2 linked regions of the Sus scrofa genome follow. The protein of the gene in region 1 binds, or shares a complex with, the protein of each later gene. Links are inferred from orthologs where the notes say so. Each region holds a gene or a part of one and is shown in the gene's direction. Other genes may lie near its edges.

Region 1 (4,116 bases):
TGTCATGTAGGGTCACACAGGGAAGTACCTGACGGGCCTGTCAGGAGGCAGAAGGAGGGAGGGGAGGACACCCCTTTACTGAAGGACCCTGAAAACACTCCCAGAGCCTTTACTGTGGTTTCTGTGGGAAGAAATGGGTGAAGCAGAGTAGGCAGGTTTAAACAAATTTAGGATTGGATAGTTTGAATAAGGCTGGTCTCCAACTGTCCAGTTCTTGGCCCTGGGGTGATTTAGGGCGGGGAAATACTGGTTTGGTATGTGGGAGTTAGATAAAGGCTTGGGATATGGGCTCTGGATCAGTTAGTTTGTACACGGAAGGCATGTTCACAGGCAAGTTGTTTGCGACTCTAGGAATTAGCTCACCCTGGGAGGAACAGTTCCTACCCAAGCTGCAAGGCCCCAAGATATCAAAGCCTCATAAAGGACAGAAAATAAAAAACATGATGAATACACATTCCTTTTCCATGAACCCTCTGCTCATGGCTCTATAGCCCAGAATGTCCTTCTTTATGAAGTAAGTTTTGTAGTGCCTCTCTCAACACTGCCACCATCCATAGCCCTGACTAACGCCCCCAAGTCTGGTACCACATCCCCTTCCCACCAGACCAGTGATGGCACATGACTGGCACCCAATCTATGGAATGTCTTGCCACCTATGACCATTGTGGCCTGCCTCAAAAAGAGATGAACTGCCCATTAGATTTCTTCTTTTAAGGATTTAAAATAAAAGCCACAAATGGAGTTAGCCGTTGATGGTAAGGTGAACTGGGAGGTCCTGACATAGACTCAGGACCTCTGCAAGCCACGTGCGCTCCTCCACCACCACCCCCCCATCTACCCTACTATACCTCCTCCGAAAAGTCTGTAATAACTGTCAGGGGCTAGTGTTAGAGTGTTGCTTTGTTTTTAATGTTTCAAGATTAACAGAGATTCTCAGAGACTGACAAACTGTAATAATTAAGCCAGACTGGATCAGGCCTGAGAGGAAGGGCGCAATGGTCTTTTTTAAGCCCCTAAATGTACTGCAAAGTGTTTTTAATTTCATGTAAACATTTAAAAGACCACATAACTCAGTCTAGTGCAGACGCTTCCTGCAGCTTCAACGGCATTTCCTGCTTCTCTTTGAAGTTCTCACCCTGGGCTACACTGCGGGAAGAAAACTTAGTGCGGATCCACCTACTGCGCCCTTACCAAGGAGTTGCGCAAAACCAAATCCGCAGATTTTGTCGATTGCTTCTTCCTGGGAAGACCCGCCTAGATCGACTGCTTCTGTCTGGCCCAACCCCGGGCGCGGGAAAAGAGTTTGAATCCTACCAGGTGGCCGCAAGGACCTCCTCAACCTTCAAAATCCTGACCAGCCTCAGCCACCGCCACCTCCTCCTCCTTCTACATCCCTGACTCCCCGAGGTCTCCAGAACAACGAGAGTGGACCGCCGCCATGTCCGAGGCTTATTTCCGGGTGGAGTCGGGTGCGCTGGGGCCTGAGGAGAACTTTCTTTCCCTGGACGATATCCTGATGTCCCACGAAAAGCTCCCGGTGCGCACTGAGATCCCCATGCCGCGCCTCGGCACTTTCTTCCTGGACCGGAGCGGAGGGGCCGAGACAGACAACACAATCCCTCAGGTAAGCCTTTGGCGCGGATCCCCTAACCAAAAGACTACCACTCCCAGTGGGCCTTACGGCCCTGGGGCCGCATGACCGGGCGCGCTGCCTCCTGGGATCTGTAGTTTTAAGGAGGGGCCCGGAAGTGCGCTAAAGGAGTTCTGTCCGCCGATTCCCCGCGCTCTAGAGTCCTTCTCCCCACCTACTCTCCGCGACCCTTACGGAAACGAAATTTACACTGAGTCGTTGAGCTCCCTCCCACACTCAGTTTTGAAACCAACCAAATTTAGCAGTGTCTTCTCTCCCCGGCATGTGTTCTTGCTTTAGAATTGGCACCGACTGAATACTTGAGGACCAATGGTTCTGACCACTTTTGCCTTAAAACAAAAGTTTTTGCTTCTGTAGGAGCAAATAATATCGGGGAGCCCCAAGTTGCTAATTTCATTCCTGCATAACGATGACAGTATCACCTACCATTTACTGAGTTTTATTGCCAGCATGGATAGGGCAGGGGGAGTATAGTTTTCCGTGTATTAGCCTTTAATTTTTCAACAACCCTACTGTTAAGTGTTGTTACATGGGAGGAAATTGAAGCTCAGAAAGGTTGGGTAACTTGGCCAGGGACTCATTATAAGCGGTGAGCTTGGATTCGAACCTAAGACTGCATGACTTCAAATACGAGTTTGTCCCAGGAACTTGGCTTGTAATGGTTATTTTTGATTTCCTATTTAACCTGAGTTTTGTTTAGAAGGGTGTTTTTGTTTGGTCTGTTTTAATTTTTTTCAAAGTAGGACATATGCAAAGTTTAAAAAGTCAATAGTACCAAAAGATTTATAACAAAACATAGCAGGCCTTGCCTTGCTATGTCCCTTCCCATCTCCACAGTCTATGTTTTTCAGAGTTTCTTCAAGATTCACCTCCGTGTTTCTAAATAATGTTTTAAAGTTTATCTTCTTTGTAAAAAAGAATTTAGACATTCTTTATTGACGGAAAACTCAATATGATAGTGAAGGGTTTAATTCTCTTGCGCGCTGGTAGACAGAGATGTGCCCTACGTACTTTATTCGTATTTCCTTCTTTTTTACCTAACGCCCTATTTCTGTTTCAGGATCCCATCCAGGACAGCACATTGCATTTAGTAGCCATGGGTCCTTAGGCTCCTCATGGCTTTGATAGTTTATCAGACCTTCCTTGGTTTTAATGATCAGGAATTTTGTGAAGTGCTGACCCACTTTTTGGTAGAGTATGTTCCTCATTTGGGATTTGTCTGATGGTTTTCTCATAATTAGACAGTGTTTTGAGGAGGAAGACCATAGAGCATAGAGGTCAAGTGCCCTTTTACCAGGGTCTATACACCATCAACGTGACTTATCATGGTGATAGGAACCTTGATCACTTAGCTGAGGTGGGTTTGTCAGGATTCTTCACTGTAAATTACTCTTTTCACCCTTTCCACACTGTTCTCTCTGGAAGGAAGTTGTTATGTGCAGCTATGCTTAAGGAGTGGGGAATTATGCTCCATTCCTTGAGGGCAGAGTGTCTGCATAAATTATTTAGGATTCTTCTGCATGGGAGATTTGAGTAAAACGTCACATATTTAATTTCATTCTTAGATATAGGACTATTCAGATTTTCTATTCTTGTGTTACTTTTGATATGTTGGTTTTCCTCCTGCTAGGAATTTGAATATTTAAATGTTTAAATATAGTGGTATAATGTTGCTCAGAACATCCTTTTACTCTTTTTTTTTTTTTTTAATTATAGCCTTTTGCTATTCCTTTTTTTTTTTTTTTTTTGTCTTTTTGTCTTTTTTGCCTTTTCTAGGGCTGCTTCCCACGGCATATGGAGGTTCCCAGGTTAGGGGTCTAATCGGAGCTGTAGCCACCGGCCTACGCCAGAGCCACAGCAACGCCAGATCCGAGCCGCATCTGCAACCTACACCACAGCTCACGGCAACGCTGGATCCTTACCCCAATGAGCAAGGCCAGGGATGGAACCTGCAACCTCATGGTTCCTAGTCGGATTCATTTCCGGGCTCCACGATGGGAACTCTTGCATTAGGCTTTTAAAAGAACTAAGTAATGGCTCTGTCAACTTTCTCATTTGTACTTTTAGGTCATTAAGTTCTTATCTTAATTAAAGTACTTTCCTTCTACTTTCTTTGGACTTAATTTTCTTTGTTCTCCTAACATTTTGAGATGGGTACATAGGTCATTGATTTTTCAACTTTATGCTGGGCATTTCTCCTAAGCACAGCTTTAATACATTTCACAAGTTTTAATCTGATTTTCATTTAATCTGATTTTTCATTGTGATTTCTTCTTTGACCCATGGATTATTTAGAAGACTGGTGCTTAGGTCCAAACATTTGGGGATTTTGCTCTGTACATTTTTGGTTTTGATTTCTGGCTTAATTCCCAGTGGTCGAAGAATGTAGTCTGAATCATTTCAGTTTTTCAAAAGTTAACACTTGCTTTAAGCCCCAGCATGAGATCAGTTTAACCTATATGCAC
Region 2 (3,517 bases), on another chromosome or scaffold:
ATGGAATCTAGCTTGAGGCTTTGAAGGCAGGTACACTTGGTTTTGCTTTATTTTTAAGTTGAGAGCTAAGTTTTATTTGGGGTGAAATTAGGACTTAAGCCTGGGAGGTAGCAGCTCAGGTAACCTCGAGAAAAGGCTCCCAGACTTGGTTTTAAATCCTGATTTTGCTGCTAAGTAACTGAGACTTTGGTCCAGTTCCTCAGCTTCCAAGAGGCTGTTTCCTTATCTGCAAAATGGGGAATAGGTATTAAAAAATTTGAATGAATATTTTGATATCATTTTGTTATAGAGAAAAAGTAAGTCATGAGAGGATGAGGTTCTATTACTAAGCTCATGTAACTACAGTATCATAAAGGCAACTTTTTTGGGTATGGCATGCAGAAGTTCCCAGGCCAGGGATCGAACCCTCACCACAAGGGAACTCCATGAAGGCACTATTGTCTGTCTGGTATTATTTAACTCAAGTGGGAATATGCAGAGGTGAGAGAGTTCAGGGTGCCCAAGGGTTTGTAAACAGCATGTCTGTGATTTTACAAGGTAACGTTTTTGGATTATGCAGGTTGTGAGTTTTTGTGGGGTTTTTTTGTTTCTTGCTTTGATGCTTTGCTAACATGAGTTGCTTTATTATATTTAAGACTATATTGGGAGTTCCCATCATGGACAGCAGAAACGAATCTGACTAGGAACCATGAGGTTGCAGGTTTGATCCCTGGCCTCGCTCAGTGGGTTAAGGATCTGGCATTGCTGTGAGCTGTGGTGTGGGTCGCAGACGTGGCTTGGATCCTGCATTGCTGTGGCTCTGGCGCAGGCTGGCAGCAACAGCTGCAATTTGACCCCTGGCCTGGGAACTTCCATATTCTACAAGTGCAGCCCTAAAAAGACAAAAAATAAAAAAATAAGAATATATTGAAATAAGAACACAAACACAGCCTGCATTATGTTTGTTTTTAAAGGAAGTTATCCCAACTTTCGACATGGCTGTCAATGAGATCTTCTTTGACCGTTATCCTGACTCGATCTTAGAACATCAGATTCAAGTAAGACCATTCAATGCATTGAAGACTAAGAATATGAGGAACCTGAATCCAGAAGGTGATTTTTCTTCCACTTTTACTGAGATAGAGATGACATATAGAGGGTAACACTTTTAATAGCAGGAAAATACCTTATGTGAAAGTAAACAAAAACCTCATCAAGGAACTTTAAAAGCATTGGTTGTGGGCTATAAATTGACAAGACCTAGTGACAGATCCAGTCACCCATAAGCTTTTAGATCCACCATACCTATTGTTACCTAAAGTAAAACCATAAAAAAGATACCATAACTCGGTAGCTCTCTAAATTCAGGGTCAGTGTTGAAAACAAATATAAAATGCAGTCCCTGCCCTGAAGCTTACAGAAGAAATGGTGGAAGAGGCAGAAGCATGTGGTGGGTAAGTCTCAGCCCAAGTAGAGGCAGTGCCGGTCCAGTGGGAAGGATTGGGAAGCAGACCTAAGGGCTTCACTCTAGACAGAAAGAAGGGATGTGAGCAGAAGTGAAGCAAGACTTCAGACAGGACGTGATGGCTGCAGCAGGGATGTCTGGGTGGGGCCTGAGGAGCTTAGGCTTTTAATCCTAAGCCAGTGGGGAGCCATTGATCCTTTCTGAGGAGAAAGAATTTCTCCTGAGAAGTTCCTGAGTATGCAGGGTATGTTCAAGTGCAGTTAGGATGCTCCACCATGGACGGTGCCTATAGGAGTGAAAACACAGGGCAGATGTGATGGTTGAGTGAGGTATAAAAGCTGTAGGAAATTAGCAAGTACTCCTGTAGGTAAATGTGCTAAAGGCGCAAATCTCAGTAAAAGCGAAACAACCAATAAACAGCAGCAAATATTGGACTTGGCCATTTACGAAGGAAGAGTCATATTTTCCCTTGGGAACTTGACTCTGGTACCATCCCCACACTGGGAGGTTGTGGAGGGACCCTGGTGGGTAGGAGTTGTCCAGATGAGGGTGCTGGGCTGCTTTATTACTAAAGGGCAAGTTCCAGGGAGGTTGGCAATGACCATGGTTGTGGAAGTCAAGAAACTTCCAGAGATCCAACCATCACAACAGCTACATTTTAAAAGAAGAGGAGGGTTGGTGGGAGGGAGCAGGAGGTTGGGGGGGCACCAGATGGCAGAGGCCACGTGAGCCCTGGTGAGAGCTGGCGGCCTGAGAAGCTCAGCTGTGGGGAAGGTGGTTCTCTGCAGGGTGCTAGTCCTCAGCAGCAGGGGGGCCCGACTCCTGCCCCATGGGTGAGGCTGCGGAGGCTCAGCCTGTTCCCAAGGGCACACGGGAACCCCACCCAGCCCACCCGCCTACCTGGTTCACTAGGAGCCAGGGTCCCCGCGTGTGGCAAGAGTGAGGTCCAGGCGAGGGAACAACATGGGCAAAAGCATGGAGGCAAAAAGTGGAGCTGGACAGGAGGCAGACGAGGGAAGAGATGGGGGTGCCTGGGACAGGGCCCCAGCAAAGAAACAACAGACAAGCAATGGTGTTTGACGTGGGGATGGCCCCTGTGACTGTAGGAGATGGTCACAAGCATGGCTCTCGGCTGCATCCTGGGGCCCACATCTCCAGGTAGCCTTTGCTTGGCCCAGCTCAGCACGGGTAAGTGGACCTAAGGGGTTGGGGGGAGCAAGCCAGACACGGGAAGCGTGTCTGAGGCCAGACCCCAGGGTAGCCAGCGAGACGTCTGCTCTGTGACCCTGGCCATCCCGACACCTCAGTTGAGGCCCTCCTGGCTGGACGTCTGCTCCAGCTCAGAGAGGACAGCTGCCCTCTCCCCACCCTGCAGACATCGACCAGCTCATTGCCATCAGCGGCATGGTGATCAGGACGTCCCAGCTGATCCCCGAGATGCAGGAGGCCTTCTTCCAGTGCCAGGTGTGCGCCCACACGGCCCGGGTGGAGATAGACCGAGGCCGCATTGCGGAGCCCGGCACCTGCGAGCGCTGCCACACCACCCACAGCATGGCGCTCATCCACAACCGCTCCGTCTTCTCCGACAAGCAGATGGTGCGTGCCCCTCCACATGCCCTCTCCACTCCGGACCCCTGAAACCGCACTTCATTTGCTCTGGGGCAGGCGGGCTCATTAGAGGCCTGGGCCGGGCCCTGGGTGCTCCTCTGGGGTCTTGCCAGGGGCAGGGGTTCTGTAAGGGAGCATCCTCAGTTTAGCATCACTTGTGATTAAGTCAAATTTAATGAGATGCTTCTGTGGGAAATACTAAGGTTGGAGAGTCTCTAGCCCATCAGGCAGGCACATGTAAAACCTGAAGGTCCCCAAACGTGGAGGCTAAGTCTGTCAGCTGGCAGGTGGGTGACCCGGCAGCCACTGGGCTGAGAGTGTGTGCCGGCTTCTCGTGCACACTTTATTCCATAGCAGGTTTAATGTGAAAATCTTCCCAAGGAGGTGGAAATAGCTGTGAGCGGGGAGGGCGCGGCCTGTCTTGAGGGTCTGCACGGCTCTTTCAGATCAAGCTCCAGGAGTCTC

Evidence for each region. Proteins that work in one complex are often made in the same cells at the same time.
Region 2: GINS3 (region 1) and MCM4 share a complex: the UniProt entries of both Homo sapiens proteins name them as parts of the CMG helicase complex. The link is inferred for Sus scrofa from reciprocal best matches to the Homo sapiens genes GINS3 and MCM4.

Annotation. Positions count from the first base shown.
Region 1 is NC_010448.4:20,161,397-20,165,512, forward strand, and holds the start of GINS3 (DNA replication complex GINS protein PSF3), read left to right. Parts: upstream 1-1,299; 5' UTR 1,300-1,438; coding exon 1,439-1,624; intron 1,625-4,116. UniProt on the Homo sapiens protein: Required for correct functioning of the GINS complex, a complex that plays an essential role in the initiation of DNA replication, and progression of DNA replication forks.
Region 2 is NC_010446.5:79,680,454-79,683,970, reverse strand, and holds part of MCM4 (DNA replication licensing factor MCM4), read left to right. Parts: intron 1-953; coding exon 954-1,092; intron 1,093-2,819; coding exon 2,820-3,040; intron 3,041-3,498; coding exon 3,499-3,517. UniProt on the Homo sapiens protein: Acts as a component of the MCM2-7 complex (MCM complex) which is the replicative helicase essential for 'once per cell cycle' DNA replication initiation and elongation in eukaryotic cells.